3 linked regions of the Oryctolagus cuniculus genome follow. The protein of the gene in region 1 purifies or fractionates together with the protein of each later gene. This does not show direct contact. Links are inferred from orthologs where the notes say so. Each region holds a gene or a part of one and is shown on either strand. Other genes may lie near its edges.

The links.
Region 2: the proteins of STX8 (region 1) and VAMP4 purify together in Homo sapiens (co-immunoprecipitation; 3 studies listed by BioGRID and IntAct, counting the BioPlex papers as one, with this or other methods). This does not show direct contact. The link is inferred for Oryctolagus cuniculus from reciprocal best matches to the Homo sapiens genes STX8 and VAMP4.
Region 3: the proteins of STX8 (region 1) and VAMP3 purify together in Homo sapiens (co-immunoprecipitation; 3 studies listed by BioGRID and IntAct, with this or other methods). This does not show direct contact. The link is inferred for Oryctolagus cuniculus from reciprocal best matches to the Homo sapiens genes STX8 and VAMP3.

The regions. Positions count from the first base shown.
Region 1 is NC_091448.1:53,883,072-53,892,985, reverse strand, and holds the start of STX8 (syntaxin-8), read left to right. Parts: upstream 1-4,885; 5' UTR 4,886-5,347; coding exon 5,348-5,364; intron 5,365-9,914. Other genes in the region: CFAP52 (cilia- and flagella-associated protein 52), read right to left, coding at 4,164-4,233. UniProt on the Homo sapiens protein: Vesicle trafficking protein that functions in the early secretory pathway, possibly by mediating retrograde transport from cis-Golgi membranes to the ER.
Region 2 is NC_091438.1:26,789,687-26,799,559, forward strand, and holds the start of VAMP4 (vesicle-associated membrane protein 4), read left to right. Parts: upstream 1-2,904; 5' UTR 2,905-3,125; intron 3,126-6,901; 5' UTR 6,902-6,942; coding exon 6,943-7,008; intron 7,009-9,873. UniProt on the Homo sapiens protein: Involved in the pathway that functions to remove an inhibitor (probably synaptotagmin-4) of calcium-triggered exocytosis during the maturation of secretory granules.
Region 3 is NC_091438.1:159,932,357-159,942,270, forward strand, and holds the start of VAMP3 (vesicle-associated membrane protein 3), read right to left. Parts: upstream 5,783-9,914; 5' UTR 5,630-5,782; coding exon 5,628-5,629; intron 3,851-5,627; coding exon 3,772-3,850; intron 1-3,771. Other genes in the region: CAMTA1 (calmodulin-binding transcription activator 1), read right to left, coding at 9,560-9,623. UniProt on the Homo sapiens protein: SNARE involved in vesicular transport from the late endosomes to the trans-Golgi network.

The sequences.
Region 1 (9,914 bases):
TTCTGAGCTGATAGCCATTTATATTTCTTTTGTTTATATTTCTTTGCCAATTGTCTACTTCAGAGGCCTAGTTTTTTTTTTTTAATAAAGGGCCAGATAATAAATATTTTAGGTTTTGGGGACCATATGGTGTGTGTTGCAACTGCTTCTGTGTGCTGCTGTACTGTAAAAGCAGCCACAGGCAACGTATAAACAAATGAGAGTGGCTGGGTTCCAACAGAACTTTGTTTCTAAAAACAGACCCACATGCCTTAATTTGCACACCCCTGATTTATTTTGTTTTTATTGCGGTCTTTAGTGTATAAGAGTTCTTTGTGTAAGAGGAAAAAATAGAAATTTAAACAACTAATGAATTACACCACTCTCGATAACTATGGCTTTATACAATGTTTTCATATTCAACACAACTCTATTTGGTTTCTTTTTTTTGAAAACAAGATTTTATTTGAGAGGCAGAATGACACAGAGAAAGACTCAGATTTTGCATCCTCTGGTTCACTCCCCAAATGGCCACAACAGGCCTGTCTGAGACAGGCTGAAGCCAGAATCCAGGAACTCCATCTGGGTCTCCCATACGGGTGGCAGGAGCCCAAGCACTTGGGCCATCTTTCACTGCCTTCCTAGGTGCATCAGCAGGGAGCTGGATCAGCAGTGGAGCAGCCAGGACCCAATCAGCACCCATATGCGATGCCAGTATCTCAAGCAGTGGGTTAACCCACTGTGTCAAAATGCCAGCCCTTCTGTTTGTTTTTTTCGGATGATAAATTCCTGGGGCTGGCTTTGTGGTGTAGTTGGTTAAGCCACTGCTTGCAACACTGGCATCCCGAATGGGTGCCAATTCAAGTCCTGGCTGCTCCACTTCTGATTCAGCTCCTTGCTAATGTGCCTGGGAAAGCAGCAGCAGATGACCCAAGTGCTTGGGCCCCTGTGCCCACGTGGGAGACCAAATTGAGGGCCTGGCTCCTGGCTTTGGCTTGGCCTTTGCAGTCGTTTGGGGAGTGAGTCAGTAGAAGGAGTATCTTCTCTCTCTCTCTCTGTAACTCTGCCTTTCAACCAACTAACTAAATAAATTCTTGTCAGAATACTTTGAAATGTCAAGTACAGTTACATATTTACCTCTTCAAGTTAAAATTCAAGTTTGACAGTGTAACACTACTAAACAATGAGAAAAGGGACCTTGCTTTTGCTTCTGTTTCCTTGTGAAATCTAACTCAGTGACCTGTATTTAAGGCCTTTGACAGCGAATCCCAGGCTCAGTTTCCTGTGCCTGGCTGCCAGTCCCTGATGCTGAGGCTTCACCAAGCCATGTGCCATTCCCCACCCAGGCCCCACCCTCCACGTCTCCTCCTTTTGCTCCCTTATTCCTGCTAGTGGATTATTCTGCCCCTCACTCCTTGCCCACTGACTCCTACCCAATCCACTCTCGGCTCTAGTGCCATCTTCTTGGAAACCCCCATGGCACAAGAGCCAAGTGGAGGAAGAAGCTCTGCTTCCTGCTAATCCATCTGGGAAGGCAGAGGATGATGGCCCAAGTGACTGGGCCCCTGCCACCTATGCGAGAGACCTGGGTAGAGTTCTTGGCTCCTGGCTTGGGCCTGGTCCAGCCTTGGCCACTGGGACCATTTGGGGAGTAAGCCTGAGGATGGAAGATCTCTCTCTCTCTCTCACTCTCTCTCTCTCTTAAACTCTGCCTTTCAAATAAAATAAATGAACAAATCTTAAAAAGGTCAATCCTTCCTTGACCTCTTTCAAGCCTAGAATAGACTCTTTCTCCCAAACTTTTCTAAGATTCTCCTACGAGTTCCAAAAGATTTAGCTATGTGCATGTTTTTTTGTAGCATTTTAAAATAAATGCAATGTGGGTATTTACCCTAGCAGTGAAGATGCTATTTGGGATGCCCACTATCTATATTGGAGTACCTGGTGTGAATCCTGGTTCCTGGCCTCAGCTTCCTGCTAATGTGCACCCTGGGAGGCAGCAGTGACAGCTCAAGTAATCAGTTCCTTGGCACCCATGTGCATTGAGTTCTGGGCTCCCAGTTTTGCCCTAACCCATCTCTGGCTGTTGTGAGCATTTGGGAAGTAAACCAGCAGATAGGAACTCTCCGTATGTCTCTTTTGTCTGTCCCTCAAGTAAACAAATAAGAAAAAGCTTTTCAAAATTAAAAGCAAAAAAGGGAATTATTCTAATTCTTAATAACATGGAAATAAATGAAGTATTGTATATCTGTACAAGATTGTTAAAGATTACACTAAAATTGTGACCTAGTGTTAAGTGATAAAAGGTCTAGTTAGAATTGGAGCTGGTGCTGTGGCGCAATGGGTTAAAGCCCCAGCCTGCAGCACCAGCATCCCATATGGGCACCAGTATCCCATATAGGCACCAGTTCGAGTACCAGCTGCTCCACTTCCAATCCAGCTCCCTGGTGACGTGCCTAGGAAAGCAGCAGAAGATGGCCCAAGTCCTGGGGCCCCTGCATGCCTGGGGGAGACCCAGAAGATGCTCCTGGCTTTGGATTGGTTCATCTCCAGCTGTTGCAGCTATTTGGGGAATGAACTAGTGGATGGAAGACCTCTCTCTCTCTCTCTCTCTCTCTCAGCCTCCACCTCTCTCTGTAACTCTTTCAAATGAAAAAAAAATCTAAAAAAAAAAAAAAAAGAGTACATACAGGGGCCGGCCCTGTGGTATAGCAGGTTAAGCTGCCATCTGAGGGGTCAGCATCCCATATAGGCACTGGTTCAAATCTCGGCTGCTCCACTTCCAATCCCGGTCCCTGCTAATGCACCTGGGAAAGCAGTGGAAGATGGCCCAAGTGCTTGGGTTTCTTCTGTACACCTGTGGGAGCTACAGATGAAGTTTCTGGCTCCTGGCTTCAGCCTGGCTCAGCCCTGAGTTTGTGGCCATTTGGGGAATGAACCAGTGGATGGAAGATCTCTCCCTCTGTGTGTGTGTGTGTGTGTGTGTCTATCTCTGTCTCTGTAACTCTGCCTCTCAAATAAATACAAATTTAAAAAAATAGAATATATATAGCATGAGTCTATTTTCAGTTAAAAATATTTATACGTAAGTTGTATATTTGAAAGGGTCATACCATAACAGCGACACCTTTTGGTGTAATGATGGTTGGTGTTTCAGTTTCACTGTACTTTTCCAGTTTTGTAAGCTCTTTTTAAGCACAACTATGGATTATTTCTCTGCATTCTTAGTCCATGACATTCCATTTGGCATGTAGTGTTTCCTCAAGGAATGCATATTTGAGTCCATGAAAGAACATAAATTATCATGAAACCAACAAGGTGGAAACAGTTCCACCAATACAGGCCGTTCTAAGAAGCAAAAGAAGTCATCGACAGGAAGACACCGGGATGTAATTTGCCATGTACTTGGCTCCCCGAGCCCTGTAAAGCAGTGTTTGTGGAGTTGCAGGGCCCCGTGCATGGCTTGCCCTCTGCAAACCAATGCAGACCCCTGAGTTTTTGTTCTGTGGCCTGGCACCCAGCTCCAACGACAGCCAGCACCTCTCGGATGTGTGGAGGGCCCACTCCCCCTCTGAACCTGTTCCAGTGGAGAATCGAGAGCTAAGTCCTGGAATGTGCTTACACTGTAAATACAGATTTTTCTGCATCTATATTATCACAAGTTTCAAGCTTTCAGGCATTACCAAACACTTTGTAAAAAGGATTTGCTTTTCCTAAAATTTAGTCCACTGCTTTTTCACATCCCTCTAAACAAAAGCAAAAAATATATATATGCATGTATGTATATATATATATATATTCAGCCCTTTTTTCTCCCCCTTCAAGGCAGAAGGCAGACACAGCAGAGTGGCAAGGCCAATCTCTGATAAAGCTCTAATCCCGCTCCAGCTCGCCCCCACCCCTTCCTTCTGAGACCCTCACCATGGACACACGTAGCGTCCCCAGATCCCCCATCGGCAGCACGGGGCTCGGAAGTTCGCTTGGTTATAGTGGGTCCCGGAGCTACGCACGCAGCGGCCGGCGGTCACGCAGGGGTCCAGCTTCGTGGGCTGGGAAGCGCTGTCCTAGGGGGCCGGCCACTCCGACCCACCCGCCAGCCCCCCAGGAGCTGTGGGAGCCCTGGGCGGGAGAGGCTGCAGTCACACGGACCAGGGGTTCCCGCACCAGCAGCCCCGCACGCTCACCATTGAAGCCGATCACGGCGGCCAGCTCCAGCTCGGCCACGTCGGCCTTGGGCGACATTCGGTCGTCCATCTCCGGGACACACGTCTCAGCTCTCCCTCGGCTCCCTCCAGTCTCAGCCCCAGCGGGTGCGGCGTCGCCTGGTCGTTATGGCAACGAGCGCGCGCATGCGCGCCGGGTCCACGCCGGTGCGCTCACCAGGTGTGCGGAGCTGGGGAGTTGGTTCGCCCCCTTGCAAGGCACAGGGGGCTTCTTTTCTCTATTTCTCTGCAAATTTAGGGGGCAGGGGAGGGGGGACACCAAATGCACAGAATGAATTCCCTTTTCCCTTCTGCAAAGAACCTATGCTCAACTCCCCCTCCCCCATGGCATTTAACAAACGGAGGTTCGTTTCTGACGGTAGACGCTATAAAATAATATAAAATTGATGGAGGCGGGGCTGTTTGAAGCAGGATCACAAAACTTGAAGATTTTAAGAGCAGCTTTGGAATACTTACATATCAACCCCCTTAGAATCATAAATCAGTCTAACAAACTTATACAGTGTGCAATTATCATCACAGTTCTTTTTGCCTTGTTGAAAGCTAACAAAAGTTTTTTCTATTTATTTTCGTTTTTCCGTAAAAGGCAGACAGAGAAGCAGACACAGAGAGAGCTCCCATCTCCCGGTTCTCTCCCCAGGCGGCCACAACAGCCAGGGCTGGGCCAGACGGAAGCCAAAGCCGGGAGCCCAGCCCGAGTCTCCCACGAGACAGGTAGGGACCCAAGCTGAGCCCGAAGCTGGGAGCAGGCAGGGCGGGAGCTGGAGCCCCAGGCCCCGCGGTGCGGGCCGCGGGTGCGTTTCACTGCGTCTCCACCGCGTGCCCGCCTTCCGCCCCAGACACGGAGTAACCTCCCCGAGTACCAGCCAGACAGACGTCCGCAGATGCTCGCGCCGTCCCGAGAGAAGCCTTCCGTTCAGCCACATCCGTGCCGGCGCCCCGCAGGCCGGCCGCGCCCCCCACCCCCACCCCACACGGCGCCCAGGGGCGCTCTGTCCTCCCCGAGTCCTGCTGCAGCGTCCGGAGGTCCTCCTGGGTGTTTGCGTTCGCGTCCTGAACAGCACCGCGGGGACTGAGCCACACGGGCCGCCGTAGTCAGCTGCGGCGAGCAGGAAGTGTCCGAGCGGCGGCTGGCAGACTGCACGATGGCCCCAGACCCCTGGTGCGTCCCGCGCGAGGGTGGGTGGGAGTGCGGCGGCCGAAGTTCGGGGCAGCCAGGCTTCCGGGCGGCAGCCGGGCGCTGGGCCTCGGGGCTTGGAGGGCTTTGGTGGCGGTGGGGGGAGTGAGACGAGGGACGGCCAGGTCCTTTTCCTGGCTGGGGGCGCCTCTGCCACCCTTGGTCCTTTCCAAGGCTGGCGGGGAAGGAGACCTGGAGGACCCCGATGGGGGCGCTGAGGGTCGGCGCTCTGGGTGATGGAGCCGGCTCGCGCGGGCTTGCCCCGGCGGCTGTGACAGTGGGCGGGGAGTGCCCGTTTTTGTGCAATGTCGATCCATGTGGCGAGCCCTCCGAGATCCCGGGTGTGGAAAGCTGGGCTCCGGTTAGGAACCGCTGACGGGGGAGAAGGGAGGCGGGCGGGAGTAGCACCCAAAGGTCTCGGACGCCCATCAGGGAACTCTCGGGACCCCGGGAGGGCAAGGAGGCACTTGTTGGTGCGGCATCTCCTGAGTTCGGAGCACGCAGGACGCGAGCTGGCCCCCGGGGGACCGAGCCCAAGGACTTTTACTGCCGTGGCTCTGTCTCACCTTAGCGAGACTTCCACGGGGACCAGGCAGTGAGCCCAGCGGGATGCATCCAAGTCGGAAGCCTCCCGGAGAGGCAGACCGGAGGAACTGGTGCAAGTGGGGTCTTGGATGCACGATTCAGGGAACAGTCGATCAAAGGGCAGGGACAAAACCCATCTGAAGGCCGGGTTTGCAATCCTGTCTGGTGTGCTCCCGATAAACCAAAGAAGCCAGCCGTCAGAGGGTGGGGTAGGGAACTTCCTTCTGTCCTCCGCAAGGATGGGATTGGCGCTTTGGTCTTGCCAGGGTGGCTTTTGGGGAGAAGTCTGCGTGCGTTTTGTACTCTCTTAAAGGGACCTGAGCTAACTGCATATTCGTCCGTAGCGGTGTATGTCTTTGGTTGTGTTTCTAGTAGAGTTTATGATTGTTTAAATTGCCATCTGCATATAAGGAAAATGGATTCCAAGGTCCAAGTTAGGCTTACCTGCCATCTAGGTTGTTCAGGCCAGTTGCTTAATGTCACTCTAATTTTTGTCCCATCTAATTGTAACATTTGTATACAACCTTAATACATTTAAAGAATACCAAATATTTGCAGAAAAGACAATAAATAACATCTTTAACACTGGCATTTGGAAACAGCCATTATTAAAAAATTTTTACACTGAATTTTTTTTAAGCTTGATTTATTTATTTGAGAGGTAGAGTTACAGAGAGAGGGAGAGACTGAGAGAAAGGTCTTCCATCCACTGGCTCACTCCCCAAGTGGCCACAAAGGCCGAAGCTGCATTGCTCTGAAGCCAGGAGCCAGGAGCTTCTTCCAGGTCTCTCATACAGGTGCAGGGGCCCAAAGACCTGGACCATCTTCCACTGATTTCCCAGGCCATTAGCAGAGAGCTGGATCAGAAGTGGTGCAGCTGGGACTCAAACCGGCGCCCATAAGGGATGCTGGTGCCACGGGTGGAGGCTTAACTTACTCTGCCATGGAGCCGGCCCCCTGCAGTGAATTTATTTCTTTAAACTCTACAGTGTTTTATAAAAGGGGGCATTTCTCCATATTATTGAAGATTTTCTGAACACATGACTTACAGCCCCTAATAATGCCTGATATGAGTAACCATTATTTTTCTCTTAATATTAGGTTTTTGTTTTTAGTTTTGTGCAGGCTATCCCATTGTTCCATCTCTCTCTCTCTTATTTATTTTTTTAATTTATTTAAAAAGGCAGAGTGACAGAGAGATGACAGGGAGATCTTCCATCTGCTGGTACACTCCCCCAAGTAGCCACAACAGCCAGGGCTTGGCCAGGCAAAAGCCGGGAGCCAGCACCTCATCCTGGTCTCCCACGTGGGTGGCAGGGCCTGAGCACTTGGGGTTATCACCTCCTGCCCTTAGGGGAGGCTGGATGTAAAGTAGAATCACACTGGCCCTCCAGTATGGGTGCCAACATGGCAGGGGTGGCTGAACTGCTGTACTTTGTGCCATTCTTGGTTTCCTTGGGCTGTTTTCCTAGAAGCAGAACTCTTGGACTGTAGATCTGTTTTTAAGGCCCTTGGTATATGTTATCTTGCAGAATCCCCCCCCCCCCCCCGGGAGGCTGACTCCCAGGGTTTACATACAAATAGCAGAAAAATACATTTCTCTCCGGGCTGGAGCTGTGGTGTAGCAGGTAAAGCTACCCCCTTTAGCACTGGCATCCTTTATGGGAGCCTGTTCGAATCCTGACTGCTGTACTTCCAATCCAGCTCTGTGCTGTGGCCTGGGAAAGCAGTGGAAGGTGGCCCAAGACTTTGGGCCTCTGCACCTGCATGAGAGACCTGGAGAAGCTCCTGGCTCCTGGCTTTGCACTGGGGCAGCTCTGGCAGTTGTGACCATCTGGGGAGTGTACCAGGGGATGCAAGACCTCTCTCTCTCTCTCTCTCTCTCTGCCTCTGCCTCTCTGTAACTCTGCCTTTCAATAACAAATAAATAAATCTTTAAAAAAAAAAGTTGCTCTCGTTTGACCTCATACCTCTTCCACAGGTGATGATAAGAAAAAGTGTTTAAACTTTCTCCTGTTGAGTTTGACTAGTGACCTTCTCATTAGGCTGTTGAAAGTGGACCACTGGGGCCTCTGAGGTGCCCTCATGAGCTGCCTTACGTGGTAGGTTATGGATGAGAAGGATAGAAAGGAGTGTGGAACGGGCCTCTGAGAAACCTATGAAAATAGGCCACTCCTGGCGCTGTGGTGTAGTAGGCTAAGCTCTGTCTGCAGGGCTGGCATCCCATATGGGTGCCGGTTCGAGTCCCAGCTGCTCCACTTCTGATCCTGCTCTCTGCTATGGCCTGGGAAAGCAGTAGAAGATGGCCCAAGTCCTTGGGTCCCTGCACCCTCACGGGAGACCCAGAAGAGGCTCCTGGCTCCTGGCTTTAGATCAGCCCAGCTCCAGCCATTGTGGCCATTTAGGGGAGTGAACCAGCAGAAGGAAGACCTTTCTCTCTGTGTCTCCCCCTCTCTCTCTGTGACTGCCTCTCAAATAAATAAATAAAATCTTAAAAAAAAAAAAATGGGCACTGATGCCTCCCTCCTGTGTAGGGTTCTAATGTTTAGGGAATAGCACACAGCACTTGCTGTTTCAAAGGCCCATCAAAGCACAAGGTAACATCACTGTTGTTACAGAACACCCCCAAAACTGCATGGAGAAATTGCTATAGAACCCCCAAAACTGGGTCCACTGGCCCAGCGTGCAGCCAGCTGAGACACTGAGGCGGTGGAAGGAAGTAGTTCATTTTGCAGCACGAAGAACCAGGAGTCGAGCACCTGTTGCTCAATTCCCAGACCTCCCGGCAGTGGGTGAAGGGCAGTGAATTCTGCAGGTTGAAACGGGGGTCAGCAGTGTGTGATCAGCTTGTGTGCAGGCCTCTGGTTGGCCCACAGCCCTCGCGGCCTCCCTTGGATTGGCGTGTTCTTAAGACATGGTCCTGACACAGTGGGTTCTGGCTGGTCGCGGGTCTTTGGGTGTTTGGTTTTTACTTTGAGCAGGGCTTGGGGTTCCTGCACAACATCTGAGAACAGAGCCCACTGGTAGGATGTTAGCCATTGAGGCTATGGGTGAGTCCGGGGTCTTGAAATTGGAGTCCTGCAGGGCCAGCCTGACCCTTGCACCGTGGCTGTAATGTATTGAGTTAATCGTTAGTAAGGAGCTGACTTGTAATCACCATGGTGCAGGCAGAGGAACTGCGGGCCTGAGAAAGTCTACACCAAGGGCATCAGGAGGGGTGGAGGCTTGGTTCCACTGTTTAACAGGAGCAGCAGGGGCCGGTGCTGTGGCAAAGCGGGTAAAGCCACCGCCTGCAGTGCTGGCATCCCATATGGGCACCGGTTCAAGTCCCAGCTGCTCCACTTCCAAGCCAGCTCTCTGCTGTAGCTTGGGAAAGCAGTAGAAGATGGTCCAAGTCCTTGGGCCCCTGTACCCACATGGGAAGACCCAGAAGAAGCTCCTGGCTCCTGGCTTTGAATCGGCGCAGCTCCGGCCATTGTGGTCAGTTGGAGAGTGAATCAGCAGATGGAAGATCTCTCTCTCTCTCTCTCTGAATCTCCTTCTCTCTGTGTGTAACTCTGCCTTTCAAATAAATAAATAAATCTTAAAAAAAAAAAAAAAAAAAGGGAGCAGCAGGTGTTTCTGGCTCCAACCTGGCTCTTTGCGAAAGCTGATCAGCTTTTCTTTTGGAGCAGTTTATTTGTTGATAGACTTTCTGGAAAATTCACTGAATTCTTTTTTTTTTTTTTTTTTTTTTTTTGACAGGCAGAGTGGACAGTGAGAGAGAGAGACAGAGAGAAAGGTCTTCCATTTGCCGTTGGTTCACCCTCCAATGGCCGCCGCGGCCAGTGCACCGCGCTGATCTGAAGCCAGGAGCCAGGTGCTTCTCCTGGTCTCCCATAGGGTGCAGGGCCCAAGCACTTGGGCCATCCTCCACTGCACTCCCTGGCCACAGCAAAGAGCTGGCTTGG
Region 2 (9,873 bases), on another chromosome or scaffold:
CTGTGTGTGATTCTTTCAAATAAATAAATCTTTTTTAAAAAAGAATATAGAACATTTATATACAGCTTGACTGTTGATGGGATAAATTTTAGAAGTGGAGCTATTAGAACCAAGCAACTTCATATAAAATGTAGACACACACTATTACTCTGAACTTGAAAAAACTTTGCATGAATTTGTACTGTCATTATCAGTACAAATTCATCATTAACAGCGTTAGGAATACCGTTTCTCCCACTTGACCCCATACCACCATGCACATGCAACACTATATTATCCAACTTTTCAAGCTTTGTCATTGAGCTAACACAAAGGATCAAATCGTCAAACCAAACTCAAACAGATCCTACCTCTTACCCAGTATCAAACTATACCAATAACTTCAAGAATACGAACAATCAAAAGGTAGAAAGGGCAGATCCAGGACTCAGTGCTACTTCCTAGGAGCTTTCTTCCTGTTTCAGATATGTCTTGGCAAAGGGTAAGATGTGCTAAGTAAGGTGTGCAGTCACCCTACTCCTACTTACACAGGAGACAACTCAGTTACAAAACATCTCCATTTTATGCCAAGTTACAAAACTTACATGGTATTTTCCCAGGAGTCAATCCCCTGAAATCTACAGATCCCTGATGTGTTTACCATTAGCAATCCTAGCCCAGAGAAATTCCACTGGTATGGACTTTCCTGCTAATAAATATCAAGTTTATTTGCCAGAAGGTTTGTCATTATCGTATATATATGAATTTCACATTTGTTTGCTTGGTAGCAGTATTTCCCTATGGTGAGAATGGACTGCAGATCTGTTTAACTCCTCCTTTCCTAGTCACTGATACATGAAGAGTGGTATTTTATCTGTTTATTTTGATTCACATTTTTGAGTGACGGTTGAAATTTGCTCACATGCTTGTATTTGATTTGCACTTCTGCCTCATGACAGACAAGAGCAACAAAACGTTGAAAGCTGTTAAGTAGCTGAATCAAGTTGCACACCTGAGAAATAGATTCTAATCAGGTCATGGAACAACCTGATTTACACAGCTAAAGTTCACGTAAGGTTCAGGAACTGGAAGTGCCAGGTAATCCTGGAAAAGAGCATGAAGTGGGCTAACAGGAGGAATTACAGAAAATATGTTTAAGAATTGATCAGATGCTCATATTCCCATCCCTATCCCAGCCAAAGCCCAGAGATTTAGTCTTGGCAGAGGGCAACACATAGGTTCTCTAGTTACAATGACACTGGGGCCCTTTAGGGGTGAAGGTCTTACGTTGAAAAAGAGTTGGAGACTAGCTTTTGGGCCAGCAGTTAAGACACCACATCCCATATCTGAGTGCCTGGGTTCGAGGTCCCCATCACATTTCTGACCCTAGCTTCCTACTAATGCATGTCACTGGAGACAGCAGGTGATGGCTTAACCACGTAGGTGCCTACCACCCACATGGGAGTTCTGGATTGAATTTTCAGCTCCTGACTTTGACCTGGTCCAGCCCTGGCTAGTGTAGGAATTTGCAGATGGAACCAGCAGATGGAAGATCTCTCTCTGCCTTTCAAATAAATAAAAGGAATTTTTTTAAATGTGAAGAAAAAGTGAAGAATTACCGTCTCCATAACTGGAGTTCATGAGAAAGAAAACAGGGGAGGAAATAATATAATTCAGGTTGGCTGGAGTCCTGACTCTAAATTCAGTGTTATTTATCATCTTTCAGGTTTACTGGCATATTGGATTCATGGTAACTGTAAAACGACATTTTCTAAGTTTTCACACATGTTAGGGAAATCAAAGGGACTTTGTTCAAGTGATTAAAGGTGAAGTTTGTATTTTCCCTCCCGTAAGCAATCATACCAAAAAGACTGGCAGATCCTTTTGGTTAAAAGACTAAGAGGCCAACGCAGTGGCGCAGTAGCTTGAGCCACCACTTAGGATGCTGACCACCTGTATCAGAGCACTGGTTGGAGCTTCCTAGCTGACTCCCAGCTAACTTACATAGGAAAGCAGCAGAAAATGGCCCAAGTACTTGGGCCCTGCCACCCACGTGAGAGACCAGGAAAGAGAACCCAGCCCCTGACTTCGGGCTAGACCAGACCTGGCTGTTAGAGCCATTTGGGGAGTGAACCTGTACAAGGAAGCTCTCTTTCTCTGTGTCTCTTCCTCTGTCTCTGACATTCTTACTTACAAGTCAAAGCATTTTTTAAAAATCTAAAAAAAAAAAAAAAAAAAAACTAAGAAAAAGAATAGATTACTCACAAATAGTACAGACACAAAATCACTTCAGAGAAGAACTAATTTCTGGGTTATCCGTGGAGGCTGGGACAGAAACTACAAGAGGCTTCCATTCCAGATGGACCACTTTTGTCCTCATCAGTAGCGAACTCCAGCTCTTGAGGGAGCCCAACCCCACTGCTCGCAGTCTGTGAACATAGCAAACTAAATCAGAATCTGAGTAGTGCCCGGGCACCAGTAGTTTCACAAGCCTTCCGGATACGGCAACTCCAGGGGCAAGCCTTAGCGGCGCCTTTTCAATTAGTGCATTAAGTCAACCACACAGAAACAGCAGCAGCATGTAAGAGCGTGTCTACTTCCTCCTCTCCCTGCGTGTCCCTTGGTCCTCTAAGCCACCTTCCTCTTCCCATTCGACTTCCTCAGCCTGGGGACGGATCTCGCACAAGCACCACCTAAAGGTCTTACCGACCCCAGTCACGAAGCTCCGAGCCCCACCCTAAGCTACTTCTCAGCGGCTCCGACACCGCTCCCCTCGCGCCCACCACGCACGCCTGATGCGCGCCAGCACCTCGAGAACCACTGTTCCTCCTCAAAACACAGCATAGCTTGGGTATCCAGATCTCAGACGGCTGGAAGGCCAGAGGTTCTTCGGGGTTAGACGCAGCGGGCGGAATCGACTCCCTCGGCGATCGCCGCGCCCTGGGCTGCCCCCTCCGCCTGCAGCCAGGCCGCGGAGCGCCGATCGGCTCGATGAGCGGGGGCGCAGCTGCGGCGCAGCGGCCGACGCCGGGTCCGCGCCCACTGTCTCCCCCTCCCAGCCTTTTCCCTCGGCTTCCCGCTCCTTCCCCCGCCCGCCCAGCGCCGCCCGCTCGGGAGAGCTGCCGGGAGCTCCCCGGGAGCCTCAGGTACTGGCGCCGGCCTCTTCCCGGCGGGAGGGGCTGGTGTGAGGAGGCAGGAAAGGAAGACGACGCCCCTGCCCCACGGCCCCCCAACGTCCGGGTCGGGCTAGGCGGGCAGGGGTCTAGGGGCCGGGGGCCGAGGAGCCCTGAGAGGGAAGGGGTTGGGGCCGGGGTCGGTGACGGGGTGTGCGGATGGGGGGCGGTTGTGGAGACTGGAGGTGAGGGGTGCGCTGGGGAGATGGGAAGAGAAGGGTGCGTGGATGAGGAAGATTTGTTCAGAGCGGGAGGTAGCTGGGGTGAGTGGGTGTCAGGGGCAGGATGGGCCCGAGTTAGCAGACGTGGGGGTCCGTGGCCTGGTGCGATCGCTGGAGTAAGGGGAGCTGCCTGTTGGAGGCTATGGAAATGGTGCTTTAAGGAAGGGCTGGGGCGAAAACACCAGCCCGTGTACGTTTCTAACCCCGGAAGGCGGGGGTCGGGCAGTACACTTGACAGGTTGTATGAATAACATCTCCAGTGTGTCCAGCCAAGTCTCTATTTCTGAGAGAGGGCAACCAAAGCTGCTGAGAGATGGGAAAGAGAAGTCAGAAAGGGATTGGAGGCTGGGAAAAGGAAGGCTGCTCAAATTCCAGCTTTTGTGAACTGAAAAACATAAATGGTGTGTGTGTGTGTTTGGTTTTCTTTGGAAAGCAAAAAGTCAGCATTTATTAAGCAGCAGATTAGAAGGTTATTACATATAAAGCCACGGAATAGAGAACACACTACAAAAATGCGTACATGAGGTTTTTTACCTGTGATGATGATGTAAGAAGTATAAAGTGTTGTGACATTTTTAAAGTGAATTGTGGAGTGGTGCCTGTCCTCAGTGTGGCAATACATAATGGTGGCTGCCTCATTTACATACAAACACCTAAATTCACAGGTATTTTTGTAGGAGAAATCTTAGGCAGAATATGTACGAATCCAATAGCTGAGCGTGGTTTATTTCTACTAGTTTGATACAAATATCTGTTGCCTTGTGACTCCTCAAGCATAGCTAATTAATCTTCCTTCTGGCTTTTCTGTTTGTCAGACATGATTTCTTGACTTTGTGAGGTTGATTCTTGGAGAATGGGACCTCGAAGGGGGTTTGCTCATCATTAAGATCTTATCTTTAGGTCTCATAAAGGCATTTTACAAGTCTTGCTTTGGGGCTGCTGAGGCAGCCTCTTTGTAGGGTTTAAAATATAAACAAACACATGAGAAAAGCTCAAGTTTCTCAGTTATTTGCTTTGTCATCTGTTTTTCCATGCATTCTGCAACATTCCTGCATGGATGAATTATTTGGAAATTGAAATATGGGGAATAAATGGACAGGACGTATGTGACAAAAACTGTGAATTGAAGAACTCTGGAACTGTTACTTAGGTGGCAACACTGGTTTATGTGACAAGTGGTTGAGTTTCTAACTTGGAAACATTTCTTTTCAGTATTTTTTTTATAGGAAGCTGGCTCAAAATATTTATTACCTTTATTAGGTCTTTGAACCTATACCCTGGTCCTTTTTCTTTCTTCAGTGCCCAACATTAGCTAACAAACTAATGCCTAACAATACCTAATTTAAAGATCTTAAATTCTTATGAAGAGGGAACAGGGCTCCTGGATTATCATGGGAAAATGTGTTTTCCAGGACAGAAATGTGTAACCTAATTGAGTAAATATTGGAGCTAATTATGGGGGCAGGCATTTAGCATAGTGGTTAAGACACTGGTTAAGATGCTTGCATCCCACATTTGAGTGCCTGAGTTCCATTCCTGGCTCCAGCTCCTGGTGTCAACTTCTTGCTAATGCACACTCTGGGAGGCAGCAGAGATGGCTGAAATGATTGGGTTCCTGCCACACATGTGGGAGACGTGGATTGAGTTTCAGGCTCCTGGCATCAGCTGGTAGGGGACCATCGTGGACATTTTGTGAGCAAGTAGCTGGGAACATGTTCTCTCTCTCTCTGTCTCCCTTCCTCCCTCCCTCTCAAATAAGCAAAGAAAGCTGATAATGCACAGCTGTCGAGCAATTTAGGTTTATGTCTCTGCTATTTCAATGACTGAAATGACAAACACTGTTATTTGTATTTACTAAGCCTTATTTTTTCTCTCAGTTTCTTAGTGCCTACTTCAAAAGAGTATCAAAGATTAAAAGAGAAAAATGCATGTGTATGGCTGAGTGCAAGGTGCAGCCCATAGTAAATAACATTCAGTACATCTTAGCTATTCTGAATTGCTGTATATTCACCCATCAAGTTCAAAATGCTGAAAATTCATATTTGCATAGGACAGCTTTTTCTGCCAGAAAATTTTAATTATATTGCATACTCAAGCATATTCCTAGAAAGTTACTATGCATGTTAACATGTAAGGGGCTGAGATGGTTCTGTAGCAAAGACTGGAGCTACTTACCTCAGTTCTGATATAAGGAAAACAAACACAGCTTTTTTTTTTTTTTTTTTTTTTTTTTTTTTTTTTTTTTTTTACTGTCTCATGACACAGAACACTTTTGTGACCCTAGAATTGGGGGGGGGGGGGGCAAACAATTCTTTCATAGATTATCTGGTGGACACCAGCTGGGTGTCCTTGAATTCAGTTTAGTTCTGGCACTGTCTACCTGGAGATAGCATCAGACCCCACAGATTGAGAGCCCAGCCCACAAGGCTGCCCCCACTTCAGAGGCCGATCTCAAGTCCCATGTTGTTTTACATGTGCTTCTGATCTACCAACTGTAAATCAAGGTGGCCATAATCCTCCCCTTGGGTTCAGTGAATTTGGTCGAGTGGCTCATAGAATTTAGGGAAACACATTTCCAGCTTATAAAAGATATTACAAAGGATACCAAAGAACAACAGATGGAATGGAAGACACGCTCAGGGCAAGATATAGGAGGAAGTGTGTGGAGCTTGCATGCCTGCTCCAGGCCTGCCACCCTCCAGGAATCGCTGTATGTTTCACTGTCCTGAAGCTCTCACAGACATGGGCCTGTTGAGATTTTGTGGAGGCCTCATTAGTAGGCTTGATTGATTACATCATCACTGACCACTGGAGATCATCCCAACCTTCAGCTGTCTCCCTAGATAGTATAGGTTGGAGCTGAGAAGTCCTAATCATGGCTTTGTCTTTCCTAAACCTGCCACATCCTAAGGTACCCATGATTTGCTAGGCACCAGTCATTTTGTAGCATACAAAAGGCACTGTTAACACTCTGGCAGATGCCAAGTGCTTTAGGAACTGTATGTCAGGGAACAGGGTTGAGACCAAATATAAAATATATGTTTATGTGTATGCACACATAAGTCCTAACATCACACCAGCACTTACAAGCATCACTTTTCGTGGAGCACCAATGGTACACCATAATTTGCAGAATATTTCTGTATGTATTATCTTATTTGACCTTCCCAACTCCATGCCAGAAATCACTATATTACAGATGAGGAAACTGCACCATTGCTTAAACAACCAAATAAAAGTGAGAGAACTAGAAGTGTACTATCATCTTCTGACCCTAAAGCATTTAATGACTCATTTTCAGAGGGCTGCCTCATAGTTTTCCCCTCTGTTTGTTCTTTCATTTTATACAAGCCTTAATTCATTTATTCCCTACACGTGTTCTCTTAGGGCAGTTACATTTATTTGCTCATAGAGGCCTGAGACACTGGAGTGGAGCAAGTGAGAGGGGTGTGGTTGAAGTTAGAAAAATGAAGGAGGCCCCCTTATTCCAGGTGTCTCAACTCTGATGACATTTATTTTCTCTTTAAGGTGGTGAATACTTGCTCTGGTGGGAAGTAGAAGAGTAAAATATGCCTCCCAAGTTCAAGCGCCACCTAAATGATGATGATGTCACTGGTTCTGTGAAAAGTGAAAGGGTAAGTTCACAGTCTTAAGTTCAGAAAGGAATGATTCCAAATACATTCATTCCCTTTGTAAATAATAGAAAAAAACTAATGTTTATGGTCACTATAGGGACAGAGAAGAGGTGATCCTTTTCCTGTCCATCGTAAAGGGTCGTGGCTGACACCCCTATTACAGAAGACAGGTTAACAGGAGGAAAGCATAACAAATTTATCTGATCTTAGTTCAGTATGACTTGAGAGTCTTCATATTGGGGATCTAAAGATCCCAGGTGAACTACCCATTTGACGCTTAGGTTCTGTGAAGCATGTACGGCTATGTAGAAATATGATTGGGTACAAAAGGTGTGATCTAATAGAAATAGACTGGGGAGCAGGGAGACCCAGCTGGGCATATGTATTCAGATTCTCCTTTCCTTGCCTCCAGGTGTGAAGCAGGACCCTTTCTGGAAAGGGGGTCAGGTGACCTGCATTCAAACAAGATAGAGAACTTGTTCGTGGCTAACTTATACAGAAAAGTGGAGGGAAATTTAGAGTAATACTGTTTTATGATGACTTTGGGGTATGGAGATTCTGGTTTCTATGACTCACTTTGTGGAAGAAGAAGTCTAGTTTCTGTGGCTTGCCTGAGGGAGAGGGGTGAGAGATGGTGGGGTGGGAATGGAAGGTGATAGTGAGGGAGGGTTCATGAGATCAGAAGCTTTGCTCCTGAGGCCTTCACTTTGGGGTTTTCTGAGCCAATACTGCATTCTAATCTTGCTTGTTTTCTTCATAGTAAACATGTTAAAAAGTTGGTATGATTTATATTTGCAACTCAGTTATGCTCAAATCCTTATGCTCACAGCTTCTTTCTAGTTTTTCAAAGGAAATACGCAGTATCTTATTCAGACCTCTGGAGCCAAATGTATTTGGCATTCAGAACTTTTCAGATCTTAAGTGCATATTATGTAGTATCTTTTTATAGTCAGGACCAGTACTTCCAAACGTATTACTATTAATGATTACCTAACTAAATATATACATAAAGTATATCAACAAATCAGCTAATGTCATTTCAGATCAAGCTTTCTTTCAAATGAGTTCTGATACCATACTTAACAACCTTTTGGTTTTCAGAACTTTTTCAGATTTTGCAATTGCAGATAAAGGATTCTGTACCTACAATCATCTCAGGTCCAGAGTACCTTTAATATAATGCTTCAAATCCCAGTTCATTCCAAAATCCTCTATACAAATAAGTACAGGTTTATAATTATGCAGCATTTTTGAAGACAACATTTGATGTGAATACTATAGATATGTTGCTTTTAGGAAAAGTACTCCATAGATAGTGAGGGAAAGAACTACTATTCTTATTTTTATCCAGCAACCTGAAATCCTTCCTCACTTCTTTTCTCCTTACGATTCTTTCATTTACTGATTCATTCAACAGATGTTTGTTTATTTACTTTGGAAGTTTGCTCTTGTTGCCTATTTTCAACAAATGTTTATTAACTACTTACTGTGTGCTAGGAATTGTGTTATAAACTGCAGAACATGGTCTGTGCCCTTAAAGAGGTTTTAGTTTATTTGACTCTATTTTACATGCTCTTTTTTTTTTTACACAATCTCACGACCTCATATCTGTTCTGTCCAATATATGATGATTTAGAAGTATTTTAGTACAAGAAACATTTGTCGTTCCCTTATTCTCTTTCTGAATTTTTAAAAATTTGATGAGTAGAATCCATCAAAAGACTAATTGTTCATTAGCTTTTTGGTGAAATAAGAGTTATGGATAAAGTTCAAAATATAAAGTATACAGACTCAAGCAGTTCCACTGCTGAGACTGTGACTTTTATTCTCTTTATATCATGAGTTGATTACAATTTATGGTAAAAATTGGATGTTGGATATCAGAAGTGAACAAAACTGCAAGGTTGGTTCTAATAATCTGTAAATTATTTTTAAAAACTTTTAAAAAGTTTTATTCCTATTTCCTATTATATTTTTTGTAACAGCCTTATTGTGATGTAATTCTCATACCATACAATTCATCTGTTTAAAGTATATGATTTAGTGGGCTTTAGTATATTCACAATGATGTGCGACCATCACTGCAATCAATTGTAGGACCTTTTCATTGTCCCTGAGAGAAATTCTGTACCTGTTAGCAGTCATCTACCATTCCCCTCGTCCCCTCCACCCTAGGCAACCACAACTCTATAGATTTATATATTTTGGGCATTATATATAAATGGAGTCATATGCTATGTCGCCCTTTTATGACCAGCTTCTTTAACTTAGCATGATGTTTTTAGTATTCATCAGTGTTGTATGTATCAATAATTTATTTCTTTTTACCACAGAATAGTATTTAATTGTATGAGTATAGCAGGTTTTATTGAGCCATTCATCAGTTGATGGATTTGTGGATTTTTTCCATGTTTTGACTATTATGAATACTGCTCCTATGAATATTAGCATAAGTTTTTTTGTTTGAATGCATATTTAATTTCTCTTGGGTATAAACCTAGAAGTGGAATTACTAGGTATTAATAGTAAGTCTGGGCCGGCGCTGTGGCTCAGTAGGCTAATCCTCCACCTAGCAGCGCTGGCACACCGGGTTCTAGACCCGGTCGGGGCGCCGGATTCTGTCCCGGTTGCCCCTCTTCCAGGCCAGCTCTCTGCTGTGGCCCCGGAAGGCAGTGGAGGATGGCCCAGGTTCTTGGGCCCTGCACCCCATGGGAGACCAGGAGAAGCACCTGGCTCCTGCCATCGGATCAGTGAGGTACGCCTGCCGCAGCGGCCATTGGAGGATGAACCAACGGCAAAAAGGAAGACTTTTCTCTCTGTCTCTCTCTCTCACTGTCCACTCTGCCTGTCAAAAATAAAAAAAAA
Region 3 (9,914 bases), on another chromosome or scaffold:
CACATCGGCAATGAAGAGTAGAACAATTACATTGACAACATCATCCAAAAAGTAAAAAATCCTAGGAATTAACCAAGTAGGGAAAAGACTTGCACAATGAAAACCACAAAACATTGCTGAAAGAAATGAAAGCAAATCCAATTAAACAAGGCATCCTATGATCACACACTGGAACTTAATACAATATTGCTAAGATGGCAATAGTCCCAAAGTGCTGTGCAAGCTCAATGCAATCTCTATCAAATTCAACATTTTTTTTTCTTGAGAAACTGGAAAGCCAGTAACCAAACCGTATGGAATTGCAGAGCTGAAAAGGTGAAGCGAAGCTGGAAGGCTCACACTTTGCAATTTCAAAATTTACTGCAAAGCCATGATAATCCAAACAGTGTGGTATTGGCCACAGAACAGACAACACACAGATAATGGAACAGACCTAGAGTCCGGAAATCAGTCCAAGCATTTATGGCAAACTGATTTCTGACAGGACCATGCAGGGGGGGGAGAGAACAGTATCTACAGGGGCCGGCATTTTGGAGTGGGGGGTAAAGCTGTTGCCTGCAATCGTCAACATCTCAAATGGGCTCCGGTTCGTGGCCCAGCTGCTCCACTTCTGAGCCAGCTCCTCTCCAGTGGAAAAGCAGTGGAAGATGACCTAATTGTTTGGGCCCCTTTACCCATATGGAAGACATGGAAGAAGCTCCTGACTTCAGCCTCGCCCAGCCCTGACTGTTGTGGCCATCTGGGGAGTGAACCAGCAGATGGAAGATCTCTCTCTCCCCCTCTCTTCCTCCCTCTATACTCTTTCAAATAAATAAATAAGTCTTAAAAAATAGAGTAGTATCTTCAGCAAATGGTGCTGGGACAACTGGACAGTCACATGTAAAATGACTGGACCCCTACCTCACCTCACATATAAGAATTAACTCAAAATAGATCAACCACCCAAGTGTAAAAGCTAAAAGTACAAAAGAAGCAAAAACAAGAGTGAGTATAATCTAGGGTTTGTTCCTGTAAGATCTGATACAAAAATCAAGGGCAACAAAAGGAAAAAACAGCTAACTTGGATTTTGTAAGAATTAACTTTTGTACCTCAAGGGACTGTATGAAGAATGTAAGACAATCCACAGCACAGCAGAAAATATCTGAAAATCACGTATCTGATGAAGGTTTAATATGCAGAAAACATAAAGAACAGACACATCAGCCAAGACAAATCCAATTAAAAACTGGACAAAGGCCTGGAACAGCCACTGCTTCCAAAAAGTCACACACAGAGGCCAATAAGCACAAGAATAGATGATCAATGTCACAACCATCACAAATGCAAAGCCAAGCCAGGACGAGACTCCACCTCAGGCTGCCTGGGCCGGCTATCGTCCAGCACGGGCACAGTCCTGGTGAAGAGGTGGGGAAGCCCCTGGGTGCTGCTGGGAACATGCAGTGGTGGAGCTACTGTGGCACACGGTGTGGCGGGTTCTCACGGAGCTGATAGAGAAGGGCTTCAGGACCCGGCAGTGTTACTCCCAGGTATGTGCTCAAGAGAAACGAAACAGAAGTCTAAACAAAATCTTGTTCGTGAACGTACACGGCAGGATTATGTGTAACAACTCAAATATCCGTTATTGCACGCATGGATAGACACACCACGGTCTCACACACGACGGAATATCATTCAGCCATAAAAAGGAACGACGTGCTGATCTCGCACTGGTCAGATGAACACTGACACATAACGCTGAGTGAAAGAAGCCAGAAACAGGTCTCGTGGTACCCGATACGCCCGAGCAGGCCATCCACTTGCACAGAATCTGATTAGGTACCAGAGAATGGGAATGAGGAACAGAGATAAGTAAGCAGGGTCACTATATGGGGACGGGGTGCTTTTCTGGGGTAAAGAAAAAGTTTTGAGACCGGAGAGAGCTAATGGTTGCATAATATTGTGAATATACTAAATACTAATAAATTGTACACTTTGAAATAGTTAATTATGTTCCACCTCCATTAAAAAAGGAAAGAACTCTCCTTAAAGTTTCTGAAAAAGGGCTCTAATTTGATTTTGTTAGGAAGCAAAAGTTAAAGGCAGCACAGACTTAGCAGGGGTCTCTAAAATGTGAAATGTTGAGAATTAAGTTCATAAACAAAACCATCAAACATTACTACACGATTTAATGATGGTATCTAACATAGTTTTAACTCTGTTTTGTAGGGTAGCAACATACAGAAAGACCAAAATATCTTTGTTGCTCAGTAGTAACTTCGGGAATAAGGAGATCTTGGTCTGAAATCGGGAACAACCTTGTGCTGCACTCCTGCATCTCTGAGATTCTGTGAACAGGGCCAGTGCCGTAGCACAGGCGGTACAGCCAGTGCCTTACGGGCTCCGTATGAGCCCCAGCTGCTCTCCGATCCAGCTCTCTGCTACTGCCTGGGCAAAGCAGTAGGTGGCTCAGGGCCTTGGGCCCCTGCACCCACGTGGGAGACCGGAGAGAAGCTCCTGGTTCCCAGCTCCGGGATTGGCTCAGCTCCAGCTGTCATGGCCGTTTGGGGAGTGAACCAGCAGGAAGAAGACTGCTCTCTCTGCCTGTGCCTCTCTGTAACTCTGCCTTTCAAATAAATAAATAAATATCTAAATAAAAAAGATTCCGTGGGCTGGCGCCGCGGCTCACTAGACTAATCCTCCGCCTTGCGGCGCCGGCACACCGGGTTCTAGTCCCGCTCGGGGCGCCGGATTCTGTCCCGGTTGCCCCTCTTCCAGGCCAGCTCTCTGCTGTGGCCCGGGAAGGCAGTGGAGGATGGCCCAAATGCTTGGGCCCTGCATCCCATGGGAGACCAGGATAAGTACCTGGCTCCTGTCATCGGATCAGCGCGGTGCGCCGGCCACAGCGTGCCAGCCGCGGCGGCCATTGGAGGGTGAACCAACGGAAGGAAGACCTTTCTCTCTGTCTCTCTCTCTCCCACTGTCCACTCTGCCTGTCAAAAAAAAAAAAAAAAAAAAAAAGATTCTGTGAACATCTATTGCTCAAGAATTCTAGGGAACTGGCACTGTGGCCTAAGCGTAAAGCCACCATCTGCAGTGCCAACATCCCATAAGGGCACCAGTTTGTATCCCAGCCGCTCCACTTCCGATCCAGCTCTCCGCTGTGGCCTGGGAAAGCAGCAGAAGATGGCCCAAGTGCTTGGGCCTCTGCACCCATGTGGGAGACCCGGAAGAAGCTCCTGGCTTCTGTCTCCCTTTCTGCCTCGTCTTCTCTGTGTATTAACTCTGACTTTCAAATAAATAAATAAATAAATCTTTTTTTTAAAAAAAAGAATTCTATAAATACGGATGTGTTGAGCTGCAGTTTGCCAGAGACTGCCTTCTGTGTGTCAATGGGCAACTGTCACAGATGAATTCTACAGAGACTTGCTCAGACTGGGTAATGTGTAGGTCAGGCTAAAGGACAGAGCGTTTTGATTTAAAAATACATGTATATCCATCAGAAGGACTGGTCCTGGCATGAGCAATCTTAGACCTAATCCTTAAAGTTCTGTTACTTTTTTTAATAAGACACTTTTGGGGCATGCCCTCAGGGAGACTGTTTTATGTACATGATTCTATATAGGTTCCCGGAGAGTCTGACTTTGGCTTAGATTAGGGCAGATTCACTACCTTTATGATAACTCAACACTGATGTTCCATTCACACCTTTACGAGAGTTTTTCTAAACAGAATTATCTTCGGCACGCTGCCATGTTTGTTTAAATCTACGTTCCCAGCATTTCGAGCGATACCTCATCCACTTGGTTCTGCGTCTGCTGAAGTCTTCTGCTGCCGGCAGCAGCGCTGGAACCTGCAGGTGCACCCGTGGACCTGGAACGCGGAAAGGCACAGCATGAGTCGGTCAGGAATCCCAATACAGTACTGTCAGCTTTAGGATGCGATCCCATTCCCCAGGACTCCAGTGCGGACAACGCTCACATCACAACCAAAGCGAAAGAGAACCCTGCCTGTAGACCTGAACAGTTCCTCCAAGATTACCAATTTGCCCACATCCGAGGGACCGGAGTCCAGGAGGAAGGCTCGGTAGAGTCTGGTACACAGCAGCGACCCCCAGCCGGGCACACACACAGGCCGCTCTCGGCACTCAGGACTCCCCGGGCCCTTCCACTGCGGCAACAATGCTTTCAGAGGAATAAGAGTTCCGGTGTCTCCTAATAGCGACTCATTTACAGACACAGCGTAGGAACACCGGGCGGGGGGGGGGGGGGGGGGATGCCGTGGAATGTTCGAGAATGGCGAGGAAGCATCGCATCCTCTCAGCGACCGACTCATCCTCCAAGTCTCCCTCTCTTGGCCACTGCGGCCCGGAGCTCCCCTAGGGCTTGGCTGGCGCCGGACAGTCACCAGTCACCTCTCTCCTGACAAACCACGGGCTCCTGGGTCCTAGAATTCTCTCCTCCGTGTTCAAGAATGCCTGGAGTGCTGGCGCCGCGGCTCACTAGGCTAATCCTCCGCCTGCGGCGCCGGCACTCCGGGTTCTAGTCCCGGTCGGGGCGCCGGGTTCTGTCCCGGTTGTCCCTCTTCCAGGCCAGCTCTCTGCTGTGGCCCGGGAAGGCAGTGGAGGATGGCACGGGTGCTTGGGCCCTGCACCCCATGGGAGACCAGGAGAAGCACCTGGCTCCTGCCTTCGGATCAGCGCGGTGCACTGGCTGCAGCGCGCCGGCCGCGGCGGCCATTGGAGGGTGAACCAACGGAAAAGGAAGACCTTTCTCTCTGTCTCTCTCTCACTGTCCACTCTGCCTGTCCAAAAATGATAATAATAATAATAATGCGTGGAGCACCTGCCTCGCCACACAACATCAGTTATTTAAAACCTGCCGCGCGTCAGCAGCCGGGGAATAAGGCAGATCCCACGCTGTTCTGCGTGGAGTGTCCGCGAGAGCACGCAGAGGGCCCACGCCCCGCGCGGGCTCCTTGGATCCTAACTCTTTGGGGTGGGGGGGACACTGCCGATGCCCTCAACACGAGGTTTAGCAGTCACTCCAGGGGGCATTCACCGGCTCCGGGGGTCCGCGGGGCTCTGCTGACCAGCACAGCGGCCTCCCCAGGGACGTCCCACGGGCGCGCCCCTCGGGCGCTGGGCTGGTTTTCCCCGCAGGGGTTGCAACGAGGGGCTGGAGGCGAGACTGCCGGGGCCCTGCGATGCTGGACAACCGAATCTGGAAACAGCGGTCTCCAGGGCCGCAGCCCCAGGAACGCATTCGCTCAGGAGCAGCAAGGCCCCGGCCAGGCTGCCGTGTCCCGAGGCCGCCGCTCCCGGCCCCGCGGTCGCCGGCGCTGCTCTTGGGGACCTCGCGGGGCAGGGCCGGGCTGCAGGGCTGGGCGCAGCCACTTCCTCCCGGAAGCCCGCCGGCGGCAGGGCCCTGGGGACGGCCGGCGGCGCCGCGGCGACAGCTAGGCCCTGCCACGGCCCGCACTCCCGCGGGCGCTGCCCGCCGCAGGCCTCGGAACGCACTCAACGCCCTCACGGGCTCGGCCCGCGGCGGAGGGGCGACCGGCAGGCAGCCACCGGGCCGTGCGACGGCTCCCGCCGCGGGCCGCCGCCTGCGGGCCCCGAAGCCGCCCCGCGCCCCGTCGCGTCACTCACATTTTGGCAGCGGCGGAGGCGCGGACGGCGGGGCGAGAGTCCTCCGAGCTGCGCAGCCCAGGACCTAGGCTCGGGGATGGGTGGGGTGGCGCGGCGGCAATGACGTCATCGGGCGCGGCCGGGCGCGCCGGAAGTGGGCGCCCACGTGGGCGGGGCCAGCGCGAGGCGCCGTCTGCGTCCTAACGCCGTCGGCGGGGCCTGTGGCGGCCGCCCCGGGCCACTGGCAATGGCGGCGTGGGGGGGCCTGGCCGCTGGGGACGCGGTCAGGGGGAGCAGGCGGTACGGGACAGGGACTGTCTGGGCGAGGGCGGGGCTCTGTACGTTCTTCCGGGTGTTTTCGTTTGTGACCGGTGTCTGTCAGCGCCCGCCGCCGGCCGCGCTGAGGGGCGCCCGGGTCGAGGCGGAGTGTGAGGTGGGAGTGGGGAACGCAGTGCCGGCTTGGCCGCGTCTGTCACGTGAGGAAGGAGCGAGCGCGCGCCCCGGGTTGGGGTCGGGGGTCGGGCCGGGCCGGCCGCGCTGGGCACGCGCCGGGCACGCGGCAGCCGGCGGGGCCGGGGGCCTCGAGGAGCCGGCGGGGGCCGCTACGGGCGTGGGACGGTGCCGGCGCGGACGGCCGCTGGCCGGGACACTGGCCCAGGGCTTGGGACTTCAACTGCAAAGCTGGGCGTCTGCAGGACTGACTCTCGCTCAGGAAGGCGTCCGCCCAGCGCTGTTCGGGATCACGGGTTGGCATTGGGAACCGGCACGTGCTCACCCCCTTGGATTCCGGGAACGGGTCAAGTTAAAGCAAAACACGGATAGTATGGGGAAATTTTCTTCATTTTTAATTTACAGCAGAAAGAATATAAAGCATTCAGAAAACATTTTCCATATTTTAAGGGCAATTCAAAACATTTTGCATGGTTTCCAGCAGCTGAGTTCTTCAACAGATCCATTGATTCAATGATGCTTTACATGCACAATTACAAAAATAAAACTTACAAAAAAGAAGACATCTAGACTAGTTTTACATGCAAGTCTCAGGGACCCCCCGTTGGGCGCCAACTACTGTGTGGAACTGCCAGAAGCGACCGTGCAGCCAGAGAGGGGGTTCGTGTTATTGTCTTTTATTTCGTTCACACAGTACAGCTGATTTCGAATGGGTAACGAGAATAGCAATTAAATCTTCAGGAGACAGAATAAGATTAGCTATTAATTTTATAATGAAATCCTACTCCTGGCACTTGGGAATTCAGATTATCCAAGAAAGCTGCGCTTACCTATCATCTTATATTCGAAATTAAGGTTCACAACCAAGAGAAAGCGGTCAGAAAAGCTTCGATTCAGTGGAAGTGCGTTTGTCCCTCACCGAGGATTCACAGTTGGACTGGTAGGTCGGAACCTACTTCCCATCCCCTCCGTAAGAGCCCTCCCAATTCTGTGTAAGTCTCTAATCTGGAATTTTCTAACTTACTCAGCTAATAATGTAGCATGTGAAACATCTTTTGAAATAAAAATAGTGTGAGGGTTAAAGCAAATCCACTGAGGTCATTACTCTGGTCAGAGATCAGTTACTGTACCGTAATCAATGGACTGAACATCCAGATCCAGTGTGGATAGAGGGTATCCCGGAAGAGCTGGCTTTCACATTCCCCGTTTATGAATGCGACTGTGTGTTCCTGGAATACTCAGCGTCCTCCTCTAGGTCAGACCGTGTCAAACAACGGGGATCTGGGGGACCGCACAGCTGCGACGTAACCCACACATTTAAAAACAAAATGGAGTCAGGTCGTTTACAAATGTACAGGTGGCTACTCATTGTGGGGCTGTCACTGTTGTCAAAGCCAGTCACAAAGCAGAAAGACGTATACTGTACAGTAATTCGAGGTTGGCAGTGAAAGGAAGTAATTAAAAAACAAGTACAATTATAGAAAAGGCACCAAGAGCACTGACCCCAGTTTTTACCACAATCTTTTTGTGTCCACCTTCCTTCTGAGACACCAGTTTAAAAGCTCATTCGCGAATTCTGATAGGCTTCACAACAGGCCTCGAGTTCTCAACTCACAGTTGGCAACTGGAACCGAGAGAAAACACCTCTGCCAACGGATGCTCGGCCTCGCCTGGGCATTTTAAACTGGCGTCAGCAACGCGAACTTCATTCTCTCAACCTTGGTAGTTTAATTTGTAAAAGCATCAGATTTCTTTGGCTCCTCGTTATGTGGAAAGAGTTAAATACCATGACGTCCCTTACAGGGCCAGTCTGCATCTTTTTCACTTTTGAGTTATTTGTGTGTGTGTGCAATTTTCACTTCACTTTCTGGTTTCCAGCAGGAGATATGAAAATGTGACATTTCCCTACTTTGCATTCCGTTTCTTTTTGTCAGGTTTTGATCGTTCTGAGTGTTCTTTGTTGGAGTGGATGGTGTTAGGCTATTTACTGATTTCTCTTATGATTATCTGTTTTGCAAAATTAAATTAATTTTCTTAAGCAATATTAGCATTCACATTACTTGGCACCATTGGCAAAAAAATTTTAAATAAAATAAACTAAACTCCTGGTAGCCAAAATTAAATGTAAACATATCCTTTTTTTTTTTAAGTAATGTTACTCTGCCTTTTTTCCTAAGTCTAAATACAGTAGCTCTTTTTTTTGCAGTTTAGTCATGCTTTAGCAAAATGTTCTTCTAAAGAACATTTAAAATAAAGTACTCTTATAGTGAAATAAAGGATTTTTTTGTTTCATTTTACAGACCATAGCCACTAATGCTTTGCTTTTGTTCATTTCTTTTTTCTTGATTTCATGCACATATCTCTTTGTTTTAATATATACAATATATACAAACAATACATCCACATTTTTCTCGCTCATTCAGACAAAACTATACAAATAATTTTATCTTGCCATGTTATTGACCTTTGTGAATAAAATATTTAGCAATTAATATAATCCCTTTCAAATATTTTCTCACTTTTCATTTCTACCCTCTGTATATACACAGACACCGCTCCGCTGGATGAGATAGAGCCAAAAACATGGAATTTACTGGCCAGAACGCAGCACCACACTGATCGTTTAGGTGGCAAATGTCCAGGCAAGGTTTATGATTCCTTAGAAGTGCTAGTTTCCAAGGTTACTAAAAAAGGCTACATGCTTTCCCAATTCTTAAGTAATTCTCATTGCACATGAAAGTAAGGCAAAAAAATTAAAGTGCTGAACATGAGAGAAGGGACAAGACAGTTATTCGCAGGGCTTCTGGGAGGTGGTGGGGACAAGAAAATAAATTTAAACTCTGTGAAGCTGTTTCTTGTTATTTCCCATGCATTACCCGTTTGCCACACACCCGCCCCTCTGCAAATTTCCACAAGACATTAAAAACCTGCAGATTTTAAAAGTTGCATTAAGTGTGCTGTAGAGATTAAAACAAACAAGACAAACGAACAAAGAAACAGTGAAGGAAATGAGAACACACGGACCCGATACAGACTGTATGATCTGAGCCCTCCACTGAGAACCAATCCCAGAGATCCACCTTCTTGGCAATGACCGACAGGCGCAGGCACGGCATCCTTGCTGCTGCTCAGGTAGCCCCACCTTTCCTTAGCTGTATTTTTGGTATAAATATTTGTACAGTTCCACACGATGTTTGAATGCAGCCCTGTATGAGAAGGAAAACGGCTTCTTCTGAAGATGAAGCCTCTTCAGTTCCTCCCGGTGTCTGGTTTTCCTGTGATCCAACAGAAGATTGAGTTCCAAGATGTCTTGCTGATCAAATTAAAAGTTGTCCATGAAAGTGCAAATGCAATGACCAAAACATTCCTGTTAAAATCCTGCAGCTGATCTCCCCAAAACTGCAGAGGGATCGTGTGTGCATGTGTGTGTGCGCATGTGTGTGAGTTGTGTTGTTGCATGTCTCTGCTAAAAACAGAAATGAAAACAGTCTGAAAAAGCAACGTCACATTGCTAAGGGATGCTGCTGTATGTCTTCAAGTTCCTTGGCCTTTTTCAACTCTTTCACTCTGGAAGAGAAACAAAGAAAACACCAGGTGATAACTATATAGTGAAACTGTGACTGAATAGAGGGGCGTTACCACTCGCTCTGGACTGAGAAGCCAGGACAGCAACCCTCTTCAGGATTGATGGCAAAAGAAACTTCTGGGAAGTTGCTGGAAAAACACCCGAAAGGGAAGAATGACCCTTCTTAGGGTGATTAAAAATCTTGTCTGCTCTAAAATGTGCTGTACCATCAAGTGCTCTAAGAACAGCAAAATCAGTCTCCTGTACTGAGTGTAACAACAGGGTCAGCTTAG